Oreochromis niloticus: one gene and its partner. The main gene of each other region encodes a partner of the protein of the gene in region 2 in a complex. Links are inferred from orthologs where the notes say so. Each region holds a gene or a part of one and is shown on either strand. Other genes may lie near its edges.

Evidence for each region. The genes of interacting proteins can lie anywhere in the genome.
Region 1: the proteins of tubgcp6 (region 2) and mzt1 are in contact, whole or in part, in a crystal structure (PDB 6M33), measured with the Homo sapiens proteins. The link is inferred for Oreochromis niloticus from reciprocal best matches to the Homo sapiens genes TUBGCP6 and MZT1. Residues at the interface, in NP_065194.3 of Homo sapiens: Met1, Ala2, Ile4, Leu7, Phe8, Asp10, Leu11, Cys12, Ala14, Leu15, Pro17, Ala33, Leu37, Val40, Ala41, Ala44, Leu45, Asn48, Ile70, Leu73, Lys85, Arg88, Leu89, Leu92, Val93, Glu95, Leu96, Leu104, Leu105, Ser109; in NP_001065243.1 of Homo sapiens: Asn17, Ala20, Val21, Thr24, Val27, Leu28, Glu30, Ile31, Ser32, Ile34, Leu35, Asn36, Thr37, Leu39, Glu42, Thr43, Leu44, Ile46, Cys47, Arg49, Leu50, Cys51, Glu52, Gln53, Ile55, Asn56, Pro57, Glu58, Ala59, Leu60.

What each region holds. Positions count from the first base shown.
Region 1 is NC_031978.2:13,425,687-13,433,342, forward strand, and holds the start of mzt1 (mitotic-spindle organizing protein 1), read right to left. Parts: upstream 3,007-7,656; 5' UTR 2,783-3,006; coding exon 2,731-2,782; intron 2,600-2,730; coding exon 2,454-2,599; intron 1-2,453. Other genes in the region: bora (protein aurora borealis), read left to right, coding at 3,458-3,607, 3,704-3,810, 3,965-4,010, 4,110-4,188, 4,317-4,361, 4,466-4,522, 4,623-4,891, 5,205-5,367 and 3 more. UniProt on the Homo sapiens protein: Required for the recruitment and the assembly of the gamma-tubulin ring complex (gTuRC) at the centrosome.
Region 2 is NC_031972.2:47,194,036-47,200,970, reverse strand, and holds the start of tubgcp6 (gamma-tubulin complex component 6), read right to left. Parts: upstream 3,022-6,935; 5' UTR 2,741-3,021; intron 2,281-2,740; 5' UTR 2,261-2,280; coding exon 1,475-2,260; intron 1,310-1,474; coding exon 1,146-1,309; intron 538-1,145; coding exon 324-537; intron 1-323. UniProt on the Homo sapiens protein: Component of the gamma-tubulin ring complex (gTuRC) which mediates microtubule nucleation.

The DNA of each region.
Region 1 (7,656 bases), on a different chromosome or scaffold from region 2:
ATGCAACATACACAAGAAACGCCGAAAATTAGAAATGAGTGAAAGGGACAAAATGCTTTTTGCATGTGCTATGACTGTTTATGGCATTTTCTATTTGTTAAGGCAACTGCATGCAGTAAGACTTCTGTTGAAAGATTTGAATAAAAAAATGTTACAAAGGCTCACTTATAGTAATTACTTTTTTTGCAAGTTGACTGTGGTGGTCTTTTAGACAGGAAGCCAACAGATTATAGATGCAGCAGAGCATATCTGAAAGGGGCCAATAGCAGCAGGTTAGGAGAGAACTTTATATATATAAAAACCCCTTCTGTGAATCTGGTACTTCATATCCTGATATGCATTAAATGACCACAGTTTATTTTCTGGACGACATGTTAAGCCTCTTTCAATGAGTAAAATAATCTTGGTTGGAAATCTGTGTTCAAGATTTGGTTATACTGATTCTTATATCTGTGCAAATCTAATAATATGCCCATAATGCTTTAAAATCAGGTGTTTTGCTTACTTTGTGTCGGCATATCTCAGTAAAACTGGTATGCAAAAAGAGGTTCTGTCACCCTACACCCGGCTGCATCTTTATAAACATTCTTAAATTTCAGATGTTATCTATACTTCACACACACACAGCCTGTCACACTGCCATTGCTGGTGTTCGCTTTTGTATTGACATCAATTAAACATCTGAATAAGTCCGGAAAGACTCGGTTGGGTGGTGTGATGATAACTAGAACAGGTATTACATATTTGAGGGATTACACAGAACACTTTTCTTAAATGTAATGGATTATGTTGCTTAATTACTCCCAGGAGAAAGTTTTCTCCATAAAATTACCTGAAACTCATTGTCTCATAATTATAGAATTTTATATCATATTATATAACAGTATAAACCTATAGGCTACAGTCCCACACACAAACACAAATCCCTATCCTAATGAGGACACACATATGATCTTTACTCTAGTATTTTTCTTTAGTATTTATGTATGAACACAAAGTATGCTGGGGTGGGGTCAGCATTCACTCAGCTTTAACATCACTCTGGGTTCTTGGCTAGATTAGCGTTAGCATGTCGTCTGTGCAGGTGCTTGTAAAGATCCGTAGTTAGGTTAGCAGCAAAATTCAGTTGTTTTTGTCCTGGGCAGTTTGCAATTTACCATCGTACTGGCTTTTAAAACTAAAGTATTGTTTATATCCATGCTGTAGACTGTGTCACTATTTTCCTCCTCCAGTGCCATGAGAACTGATAAGCGAATCTGATAGGCAGGCAGGCTAACAATTCCAAAGAATTTAACTACTTGGACCGATTCCACAGACAAGTGACCGCCACTGTGGGACATACCACTTGTTTATTCACTGAAGTAGGGTTAGATGTGCATTTAACAGTTTCATGCATATCCCATCTTAAAGATATTAAAAAAAAAATGTGAAAATTGTTCAAGTTACACAAAAAAAACTTAAATGTAAAGTATTTTTCTAAACACATAGTTTCAAGCATATTTAACATATTTCAAACAAATGGTCTGGCAGAAATCACCTCTTCCTCAATGTGAAAAAGAGATGATGTTTGACTTTTAGAGGAAATTTTTAAAAAAATGTGCCGAAGCCCATTAATGTCATAGGTAAGGATGGTAAAACAGTGGACAGGTACTTGAGTGTTCACTTGAATGAAAGACTGGTCTGGAGGATAAATAGTGATGCTATGTACAAGAAGGGTAAGAGCAGACCGGACTTTCTAATTAAGCTCAGATTCAGTTAGCAGTGGGAGGCAGCATCAGTGCCAGAGATGCCAGCAGGATCAACAAACTAATCCACAAGTTTGGAACCATCATTGGCTGGAATCTGGAGTCACTTAAGTCAGTGAGGGACAGGAGGTCACTGAATAAACTGCTTACCATTATGGACAACCCATCTAACTCACTCCATTCCAAACTACAGAGGGCTGACTTTGCTGCCATAAAGGAAAGCATTCCTACTGTTCTCTATAAAACTCTACAAGTCTCCTTTATATAACTGGTGAAAAAAGGTGAAACAAGATTAGATGGCAGAGATATTTCTGTATCAAACCTTCTTCCTGTGATTTCTCAGATTTATAGTGTACATGTTCTTTTTAATGCCAGTTGCATTCATAAAGAATGCAAAACTAACACAGACAGACCTGTGTTTAAATTGGAACCAAAATTAACCTAACCCCATGCATGTCTTTGGACTGTGGGGGGGACGGTGAGTACCTGGAGACTATGCAAAACGTCATACAGAAAGGATCCAGACTGGATCCAGACCTTTCCTAATAAGAAATCAAGTATAAGCCTGTGGTACCTTTAATAATGCTGTAGATTATATCATTTTTATCCTTCTGCCGCTTTAACAATAATTTCCTTGTTGGCTCAGTAAAGTATCTACATGTATGTACAATGTGAGCTGATTAGCTTTTAGGGAGGCTGTGTCTGTACCTTAAGGGACTCGGAAGCTTTCCGCAGTTCTTTGATGACTGCAGAAAGAGCTTCTGGGTTGATGCCCTGCTCACACAGTCTCACGCATATGGATAGAGACTCCATATCCAAGCCAGTGTTGAGCAACCTGGAGATCTCCAGCAACACTGTTGGGGGAGGAGGTAAAAACAGACACAGCTATGACACACATGCTAAAACGTACTATATATATTTTAAGATGAATTTACAACTATTATACAAATACACAAAATACTACACGCAGTAATTACATATTTACCGTCCATCGTCTCCCGTACTGCGTTTAGGTTTGCGTTTGCTGCACTGGCCATAGTGATGGATGACTATAGCTAGCCAACGCTTGCTAGCAAGTGGCTGACAAATTAAGACTTAGAGACACAACGCAAAAAATCAGCCAGATTTCAGGCGTTTCTTATACATTTAGATTGAATCAGCAAAAACCAGGCTAGCACAATCACGTAAAGGTCAATATAAGATCCTAGCTAGCTGACAGCGCTCATTGCCGCTACTCGCGAAAGTGTGCTGAAGGAAGTGACGACACGAAATTCTTCATTGGTTACGCGAACTTCCTGCGACGATTCTATTGGCTAGCCTACCTTGTGGGCGAAATTAAAAAACGTTTGAACTGGTCTCTCTGCTGATTGTTTGCTGCTGGCTTTCCAATGAATATTGCTGTTAGAGTTCCGGCTCATTCACAATTGTAAGTACCAACAGTTGTAAGACAAACGTTATCTAGTTCTTGCGTAAATGTATAAATAAGTTAGGGGTGAAGTGAAATGTGTGAAGCTAAATCCTCATTTTAAAAGCTGCTTCCTTCGAAGGTTTTTTTTTAACGCTATAGAAACAGAGGGAGTAATGTAGCCAACGTACCAGAGTAGAACAAAATAATACAAAAAATCGCCTTATCACGAAATAATTTTAGTGTCTTTTTGTGATTGGATTGTCATTTATCGTCATCCCGACTTTGATATTTCTTGTCAGCTAAAATGGGGGACCATGCTGAGATCCAGATCACTCCAGAGACTCCAGGCAGGCCCTCCATTAGAAACCCCTTTGAAAGTCCAAACGACTATCACCATCTTCGCGAACCGCTGGTGCCAAGTCCATCTGTATTCAAGTCCCTACCTTGTAAAGCTGTAAGTTTTAAATTTACTTCATATCATCTACTCAACTCGTTTACTCATGATTTGATGTAGTCTCTTAATAATTCTAGACTTGTTTAATTTACCCAGACTCCACCTAAGTTTAACTGGTCTATTGATGAAATGGCCAGTCTCCTACCAGTGCACATAGACCCAGAGGAAATTCAGCGACAATCTTTTTACCTCAGTCAGACAAGGTAAGTGATGTAATAAGGCTGACACTGTGACAAATGTGAAATTCTTTGAGGAAGAAATGTATTGTTTTATTTTGTGATTTTAATACCTCCTCTATGTATTAAACCTGGGGAGCTTATTAAAGACTCTATCAAACGTGAGTGGTCTTTCTTTTAGGACGGATTCGGACATTGAGGAAAAACGTCAGAATGCTATTGAGCAGGTAACCAAATCTCATCCTTTACTAATGATACAGAATTTAGTGTACCCAAAATTTATAGATTCCCTTTGTACTGATGTCATTATCCTGTCTCCAATAAAGTTTTTCACCAAAGGAATAATTGTCCCTTCCCCCTGGGCGGCACCAGAGACCCGTAAAGTCCCTCAGATTTCTAAGAGTAGTAAGTTATCTTATCTTTTATGTTACTTCTTAATTCTTATAGGTTTTGTATTTGTATTTATTTTGTTTTTATCCATAGATTTCTGTTGAACTCTGGTTTTGTAAATGCTTTTATTTTTAATGTTGTAGGTTCAATGTCTGCAATGATTGCAGAGGAGCCAGAAAAAATTTCAGGTTGGTTACTTTTTTTTTTTTTTTTTTTTACCTGTTTTGACTTTTTTTCCCCCTTTTACCTACTTTTTATATATATATATAACTTTGTGTGTTTTGATCTACAGTTGGATGTCAGACAACCCTTACATTGCCTTTGGCTTTTGATTTGGAGAAAGTTCTAGGTAAACCTTGACTAAACACCAACAGGATCATAGTGAGAAAAAGAAAATCGAACAATCTGCTGTCAAGTCACTGTTTCTGTTTTTTTTTTTTTTCTCACAGGGGAATATTACCGTTATGAAGAAGTGTGTGATCCAGTGCAGGAGAGTCTTAGCAGCTCCTCCTTGCGACGAAAACTATTCCTTGATGGCCAAAATAGTTATAGTGGCTCAGACAGCTCGAGCCCTCCAAGTCCAGAGAGAGGCAATGCCGGTCAGGAAAAGCCATCTCTCAAGAGAGGAGACTGCGTTGAAGGTTCTGAGGGAGAAGCTGTATCGGCTATCTTTTCCTCCCCTTCGGCCTGTGGTGTGTCAGCTCCGACGCCTTCTACGGTAAGTAGAGGAGTGTAGGGATTTCATATACACAACCGTTACCCAAACAATTTAATTTTAAGCATAAAATTCAAAAGAAAAAAATGCATCTGGAGATCATATTTTGCTCAACGAATATTTTAATAACAGGAAAATGAACATTTACACTGTTAAGCCTTCACCCAGGCTTACACTAAATAGTTGCTGTTGATTTGTTTTTGTGTTTTTGCTGCCTTAAAGGATTGTAAACCTACACAGGTTTTTATCTTCTTTGTTAAGCAGTTTACACGTAATGAAATGTGCTACATAAATAAAATTGCTATTGCTATTTTAGGGTCAGTTCTCTTCGAGTCCCATCCAGCACGGACGCTTCCGGGATTGTAGCCTTGGCAGCATCGACAGTCCTCTCTTCCGTGATAGGTCCTCTCCTGCTGGCCTCATCTCCCCCACAATTTCTCCTATTGTTGCACATGCAGCACGCACACCTGTTGGCTCAGGTACACAGTTGTAACTAAAACACTAGTTACACTTTGTAACTAAAATTTTAATATCCAAACAAATCAAAATTGGAGAAATATTGGCTAAGGCTACATCCACACTGACATGGTTTTGTATTTAATAAATAAATATATAATTTTTTTTTTTTTTTTTTTATCATGACAACAGTTTTCATCCAGCTAGTAGTTTTAAATCTTCCTCTATAATACATGATCCTTTGAGTATGGTGGTGATGCCTCCATGTATTTAGTTGGTGATATTATGATAAAATGCAGAATAAGTTGCATTGGAGCAAGAAGAACACCTATATAATTTGGTCTTTACATTGAATTAAGGACTGGTAATTGAGGCAGATGTGTCTTCGTTATCTTCTGAATGGGGATGTGCTTCAGGAATGTTATGATCCAACAAAGAATATGTGACTGAGAAGACAAAATGTTGGTAAAAAGGCAAGTAATTGTTACTGTGTTCTTTCTTTAGCTGAGAGGAACCAGCCGAGCTGTTTGACCCCACGTGGTGCCCCCCTGGACATGGTCGCTTCCTGCAGTGAGAGTCCATTTGTTGAGGGTTGCTCTCCCATTCGTAGCTGCTCCCCACACCAGCTCCATTGCCACAATGAACCCCAGCGCATTTCTCGACCCAGGCCCAGACCTAGAGGCCGCTGCTGGGCTTCCCCTCCCCTCATCTCACCGATCCTCAACCCTAAGCTCCCAGACAATGAGGTGGCTGAAGAACACCTCCCCTCTGCCACTCGCTCTTCTTTCCCCTCTATGGAATTAGATTCGTCATCATCACCCCTGACACAAGACTCTCACCCCACCAACACTGAGAGAGTTAGCATGGACCCAATGGAACCTGTGAAAATGGAGGAAGGCAAAGAGACAGAAATTGAACCGAGGCTCGAGTATGAGGAGGATGAAGGTGTGGGGCCTTCCGAGCAGCTGACCAGCTCTCGCATGGTTAATGCATCAGCAATAGAAAACTCTCACATGTTTGTGTCTCTCCTGGCAGAAGGAAGCAGCATACGCTACGATTCTAGCATGCAGGTTTGTAAAAACAGCTTAACCCCGGGAAGGATAATTTCATATTGATGTTTTGGGTAACAGAATATTTCTGATTGACTGGCTTTTTGCACGTGTTCAGGTGGACAGCGGTTATAACACTACCTCAGCAGTCAGTCTTATTGATGGCACCAACAAAGACTTTGACAGCAAAGAGTTCTTCAGTTCAAACATGGCAGAAGATGCCTTCCAAGTCACTCGACACACTAAAGTAAAGGTACTGACTTTACACACAATCACAAGAATGTGGATACATGAGTTTGTGCCTTTAGATCTAATTGTTCCTAAAACTGTTATTATCAGCATTAAGTTTTGTTTTAAAAAAAAAAAAAAAAAAAAAAAAAAAAAAAAAAATTACTTCTTTCATTCATTTAGTAAAATTTAAGCAACTCTTCACTGAGAAAAACCTAAGATTAGACACTTTAAACAACGACCATGTTAGTGTAACAGAAAACCCTGAAGTGTGCTCTAGTGTGTACATTGTATATCCTTACTTTCTTCTTCTTTTGATTAAAACTAAGTTTCTTCTCTTTCAGGTGTTTTTTCCTCACCACTGAGCCAAGTGATAGATGGATTGAAAGGGATTCTTCTTCTAGTGAAAGCATGTGCTTAATATTTTGCAATCAAATACAACAAGGTTTACACTATGTCTAAAGCATTTATGGTAAATATGTTCAGTTAGACTGAATTGTGTTAACTGTTAAATGAGGTATGAATACAACCATGGGGTTTCACAAGTTACCTGACTGGAAGCAGAGTTTCTTTAATCACAGGTTATCAAAGGGAAGTCTAATCCACAGACAGTTGTACTTTTGAAACCAGCATCAAACTATCAAGTCTGCATTCAACTTGCACAACAATAACCTTCCTGAAAGCTGTATTGATCCTAGCACAATTTCTGTTGTTTTTTGGGAGTTTTGTTTTCTTTTAATTTGGTGTTGGATATATCTTGACTTTCAGGCAACATCAGATCTGAGCTGTATTTATGATTTTTATAAAACTTTTTTTTATCATGTTTTGATACGGAGTTGTTTTATATCACAGTCTGATGCGCTGAATAATGCCACTAATGAATTAAAAGCTGACTGAGCCATTTCTTCGCTCTGTTTCTAATAGTTAAATTCAGTTTCTGGATTATTGTCACATTAAGTTACGTTCAGGTTTGTTTTTTTTGACTGGCTTCAGGATACGTTGTTTTATGGACCTCTGCACAGGGTGTTTATTTGC
Region 2 (6,935 bases):
ATAAACTACCAGCAGAGCTCCCCTGGGTTTTTATGTTCAGAATTAGGAATATTTTATTTTATTTCATGATCATTTAATCAGGCAGCTGACTTAAGCATACACTTCACACTGTTACATTTTATGAGTCAGTACAGCTTGTTTATATGCATGAATTTCCCATTATATCACATTCCAGCTTCTCCTTTTAATCTGTTTTTCTATTTGTAGGCTGTCACAGCGCTTTTAGTTACTTTTATCACTTCTGCCTGACAGACTACTAAAAAACAAACAAAAAAAACAAATAAAGTGCATTTTAGAGACTAATAAAAGATAACGAACTGCACCTGGTTGAGAGGAAAAGTAGTAGAAGCCACTCCAATTAGGACGTTAAGGAGATCAGACACCAGTTGCTTCTGGGAGTCCAGGGGTAAGGGGAGGACAGGAGACGGTGTGCTCGTGCTCACCACCCTCATTTCACCCTCCCAAAGCCGATAGAGCTGGTCAAAGGCCTCCCTGCCTCCCTCTGTTAGATAGAAAGACTCCCTTTTTCCAGGTGGGCTAGTGGGACAAACAAGGCATTCAGTTCCGTTTTCCAGAGGGAAAAAAAAAATACAAAACCAAAAAAAAAAACTAAATAAGTGGGACTCTCCAATACCTTGATGACTCTGTAGTTAATAGTGTATGTGTCATTATGTCATTTTCTAAACTAAAGGCTTTGGTTTAATTCAGGATACTCTTGAATTCTGTATCTACCAGCTAAAGTGGATTTCTGTTCATTTATATGTCACAAATTTTGTTGTCATTTGACATTTAGATGTTTATTTATGTTAGACCTTAAAACCCAAACACAGACTGGTTTATTTTTTTCAAAAATGCTTTTTTTTTTCTTTTCTTTTCTTTTTTTTTTACATTTTCATTAGCTTGGCATCTTACAAAAAAGTAAGCAAGCTTCTATCATTCAATCTATCATTATTTCTGGCATTTTACAGACCCATCAATTATTTCAAAAAAGGCGGAACAATAAAACTATGAAAAGAATCGGTAGTTGCTGTCATATTATAGTGAGGAACTAGATTTACAACTGTTAGTGGGTTACAGCTGCTTTTTTTAAATATGAAAAGTAGTTTGGTATCCTTAGAGCATAATCAAACTGACACATCACTTACCAGCCAACAGACTCCCAGCAGCGGCGTCTTCCAGGCTCAAATGTGCGTAGAGCCTCCCAGATATCAAAGTCTGGAATGGGGCTAGGCTCTGACTGAGAGTCTGGGGTCAGGTTGGAGGCTGACTGGAAGCCCTCATCTTCACACTGATCTAAACAAGGAGGCACCTGCAGAGAACAACAAAGAGAGAGTGCATAAAGCAATGCAAAGATAAATTATTTAAATCAAACACTGTGCAAATATGAATACGCTGAGCTGCTGAAGTGGAAATGTGATAAAACAGCCTAAGCTAAACTAAATGCATTACTTAAGGATATAATATGGTGTCTTACTCGTATCGCCAACCCTGTTACATCAATATTACTGGGGATTGGAGGCAGATCTAGTCTTATGTCCATGTCCGAGGTGCGAGTGTGCTGCAGTGCTCCAAACAGTGTCAGCCTGGTCTCCTTTTCAAATCTTTCTTCTGCTTCTAGTTTTGTTCTCAAAGCTAGCAGTCCTGTGCCAGGTGGAGCATCCATCAGCCTCTGAGTTCCATACAGACTCTCCAAAGTCCCCCATTCCTCCCCACACACCAGACCCCATGCCCGTGCCTCCAGCCTCTGCAAGTCCTCACTTTGGTAGCTCCATGGTTGAGGCATCCGCAGCACAGGCCTCTCTCTTCTCATATAGTCCCTGCTGAACGAGGTAGGGGGAGGAGGTGCCGACCCAGCTAGGTTCACAAGAAGGTCAAGGACTGCATCCACTTCCTTCAAACCAGAGTATTCTCCCTCTGGCAGCCTCCCGAGCTGCTCTTCCAGCCTTTCTGCTTCCTCTCGACAGCCAGCCACGCGTAAATCAAAACATATCATCAAGACTTTATTTCTCGGTGGTGTATTAGCTGTGGCACTCAGTCCTGGTGCAGGTCCTTTGGTGCCATCTTGAAACAGCTTAGACAGGAGGGCACCATAGGCGCGTTTTTTAAGAGCCCTGTGGAAACTTTCTCTTGAGACTCCTCCCAGTGCTCTGCGCTTCCATGACACCCCAGAAAGGCTGCAGTCACACAGGGCACTCAGCAGTTCAGTGATGCTGCTGCTGGTACAGCTGGGCATCATGCAGTTGTTAAGGCTTGGGTTCATGGTAGCTCTCTTCCCTCAGCCTGTATGAGTAAAACAAACAAGTTTTAGGTGATTGCTTTTAGAACAACTGTAACTATAACAGACGTTTTCCTAACAACCCATAGACATCAGACAATAACTCAGTCCAACCAACGCTGGTGTGACAGACATATTACTGTTGACTACTTCCTTTATAAACCACAGTATACATACGTACACACACACTGTATATAACAGTGTGTTATATACACACGCACACATTGTACATGACAGTGTGTGTGTGCGTATGTATCCTATACATAGTGCGCTTACTCTGGCTGTTTGTATGTATACTGTGTGTCAGCTAACTAGCATCACTGTTAGCCTTTTTAGCTAACGTTTGAGATATCAAACGATATGTTTTTGTTTCTTTAGCAAGCCCTGTGCTATTCCGAGCTAAAACTATCTTTCTTTCTTGTAGTTTTCTATTTTCTTGGTGTAGTATTGTATGTAATAATTCACCTGAAAATTTGAACCTTGCATCCACCTCCAGCGACTCCTTCCCGTGCATGCTACCGTTTGTTGTGACCAATGTACCTCTGCATCGATTAGCCTTCCAGCTACGTTTAAGCGCAATAACAGTCGGATCAATTATATATTTATTTTGATTTTTTTTTACTTCAGCTACAAATTAATATGCAGTGTTGCTGCACTTAGGAGCCGAAAGCAAGCTAGGCGCCTCATTCATCTTCCATCGTCCGGCGCAAGGAAACAACAAACAGTATAGCTGCCTCCCCCTGTCTCTGATTGGACAATCAAGTTCTCCTCTGCAAATGACTGGCTAATGATACTGCAGAAGGCAGGCTGATTGGTCCGTTTTGTTAGTCCATCGGGGGATGAGAAAAGTGTCATTTGTAACCGCGCTTTGCTGCATTCAGGTGTCACACGAAAAATGTAATTTTGTCGTCCATGACAGGACACTTTTAAGTAATTGACGATAATTATTAATGAACACAACTCTTAACATAACAAAAAAGAGATATCCAGAGAAAACACTTTTAAAGCTAATGCAGCCAGTACTGCAGTTTTGCTTGTTGGGGAGTAAAATCGTTTAATAAATAGACGATTTCAATGATTTATCAGTAAAACACCTAAGCAGTCTCCACTACTTATGGGTGAGTAAATTCTAATTACAGACCTGATGGTTGAATATGGTCTCCTATTTTCGCTGATCAGATTCCTGAAAAAGCTGACAGGCACTCATGCTGCCTCCAACAATTATGCATTCCTAGTGTGAATGCAGTAAATGACCTGGGTCACAACCGACAGACTCAGTTTCCCAGAAATGGATCATGCAGTACTAACCATACCCCGTCCCCAATGGAGGTCTTTACTGAATTTATCTTTAAGTCTAAGACTAGGATTAATCCCTGTCGGACAAACCTGCTGATAGTTCTTGTTTTTCAGAATCAGAATCAGAATCGTGTTTATTGGCCAAGTATATGTGCAGACAAATACAAGGAATTTGGTTCCGGTAGATGGTGGCTATCAAGCACAGCAATGTAAAACACACACACACACACACACACACGTCTATATATACATTACACATGCATACACATACATACACAAAGCTGTGTAAACCAACTATAAATAACTAAACTTATGTACATAAAATACAGAAATGAAATGAGGTGGAATGAATACTACAAAATGTACATGAGGTGCAGTTGCAGTCTGGCAGTGGGGAGCAGTGTGACAGGTCAACTGTTTAGAAGGGAGATGGCGAGGGGAAAGAAACTGTTCCTGTGTCGGGTGGTCCTGGTCTGCAGGCTTCTGTACCGTCTGCCAGAGGGCAGCAGGTCAAAAAGTCTGTGTCCAGGGTGTGAGGGGTCTGTGATGATTTTCCCTGCCCGTTTCCTGGTTCTTGAGAGGTACAGATCCTGGATGGAGGGCAGGGGGGCGCCGATGATCCTTTCTGCTGCCCATACAGTCCGCTGCAGTCTGCTCCTGTCCTGTTTAGTGGCTGCACCATACCAGACTGTGATGGAGGAGCACAGGACAGACTCAATGACTGCAGTGTAGAACTGGGTCAGCAGCTCCTGTGGAAGACTGTACTTCCCCAGTTGTCTCAGGAAGTACATCCTCTGCTGGGTCTTTTTGAGGATGGAGTTGATGTTGGTCTCCCACTTCAGGTCCTGGGAGATGGTGGTACCCAGGAACTTGAAGATCTTCACAGTCGACACAGGGCTGTCTGACATGATGAGGGGGGGCAGAGTTGGGGGATGTCTCCTGAAGTCCAGTGTCATCTCTACAGTTTTAAGAGTGTTCAGCTCCAGATTGTGCTGACTGCACCAGAGTACCAGCCGCTCAACTTCCTGCCGGTATGCAGACTCATCACCATCCTGAATGAGGCCAATGACGGTGGTGTCATCTGCAAACTTTAGGAGTTTAACAGCTGAGTTCTTGGAGGTGCAGTCATTAGTGTAGAGGGAGAACAGTAGTGGTGAGAGGACACATCCTTGAGGGGCACCAATACTGAGGGTCCGAGTTTCAGAGGTGATCTCCCCCAGCCTCACTTGTTACTTTCTGTCTGTCAGGAAGCTGGTGATCCACTGACAGGTAGCTGGAGACACGCTGAGCTGGGAGAGTTTGGAAGAGAGAAGTTCAGGCAGGATGGTGTTAAAAGCCGAACTAAAGTCCACAAACAGGATCCTGGCATAAGTTCCCGGGCGGTCGAGGTGTTGCAGGATGTAATGCAGCCCCATATTCACTGCATCATCCACCGACCTGTTTGCCCGGTAGGCAAACTGCAGAGGGTCCAGCTGGTGGCCTGTAATGTCCTTCAGATGGGCTAACACCAGTCGTTCGAAGGATTTCATGACCACAGACGTCAAGGCGACAGGTCTGTAGTTGTTCAGTCCTGTGATGGTGGGTTTCTTGGGAACAGGGATGATGGTGGAGCGTTTGAAGCAGGATGGAACTTCACACAGCTCCAGGGATCTGTTGAAGATGCGAGTGAAGATGGGAGCCAGCTGTTCAGCACAGGTCTTGAGGCAGGAGGGTGAGACACCGTCTGGTCCGGGGGCTTTCCTGGGCTTCTGTTTCTGGAATAGTCGGCTTTGCAGTACAGTCCAAGGATCACCTGCAGCTAAAGTTGTTTTAGATTTAAGTAGGCTTTGTCCCTCATTGTTGAGGAAAGAGTACCTCTTTAATGGCCAGCATGAGCAGTAATCAGAAGAATTACCTGTACTCGTGAGTGTTATTTTCTTTTAATTATATGTTTCTCGCACACACATCTGACAAATGAAGTGGGAGGCGCTCTGTATGTACACCTAATTAAGTCGTTATAATTACATTTAAAAAAGCATGTAGTGATATTGATGGCATTTTTTTAAATTATTGCCTATAATAAGTTGCATTTGTGGTGCACAGATGTAGTACGTTTTTCCATGTCACACAATTAAAAACATTTTGAGGGTCTTTTTTATGGGTGTGATTTTGAAACATTAGTAAATCCGTTTTCTTGAGATACTGCCGCCCATCACTACTCGTTAGACTCAAGTGTTAAGTAGACTACAACCAATTTAAACTCATACTAAGCTTAATAAAATCCCACATGTGAAAATCCAAGCTAACTCAACGAGATATTTTAATTTGCTCCCAGGATATGAGCTTAGAGAACCCTGGAATCAGAAACTGCCTGCGTGGTTTTAAATTATTCATCAGAACAACTGTTTAGAATGACACCACACCATCATTGTTTTTATTTGCTCCAAGTTCTCCTCCTCCTCCTCCTCCCCTAAGGCAGAGAGAATCAAAGCCAAATCTCGTTAGGAGGTTTCAAACGTGGAGGTGAGACTTAACCTGCAGAAGGAGAGGCTGGCTGCATTGTGTGAAGAAGCATCCTAGACGGGAGAACAGAAGCCAGGAATCATGCAGATTTTAACCCAATTTCTTGAAACCCGGCACAGAGGCTGACTGAAAAATAATTATTCTTAGTGTGCAGTATCATTGATTTCTAGACAGTGAAGGGCATGGTTATTTAAAAATCTTATCACAAGCGCTGTGCGCGGCAAATAATGTTGAATCCCAAAATGATGTAAGCTGCGTGTCCTAATAGGAATATAAAGTACTGTATTGCCTTTGATTTCCCACAAGTGATCAAGGATAGTGTACAAAATGCAGTGCTTGCGATAATCAAGTGTAATCACTCTTGCTTTGGCAGCAGCCCTTGAAGTTGCTCTATCTGTTGCTGCATCAGTGATCCGCTCGGTTAGAAGATGGCCCGTGCAGGCTCCTAGTCTGTCTTTGATATCTCCACCCCTGCGTCTGGGTTTGTTAAGCAGTCAGATGAGGCAATTTTGCCTTTCATCTTTCTTTTTTCCAATTTCATTCTTAGCTGTCAGTACTTAATTAATGTTTTTTGCCGCAATTTTTCCAACCTTCACCGCCGATGACAGAGATGCGGCGCGGCTATTTATATTATCAACTCATTTCATGAAGCCAGACCTTGGCTTCTAGTTTGTATTCCGAGCCTTGTGACAGGAACCTGATGTGGCATTTGGGGGGAAAAGCATCAGCCATCATAGGATATGCTGCATATGAAGACTGATGATATCAACTGATGTTATCAACAAAGTCGTTTGGGGTCATAATATGAAGGAATATGTGTGATAAGGGGGGGAAAAAAACTGTTAGCTTTTGACACTTGGTC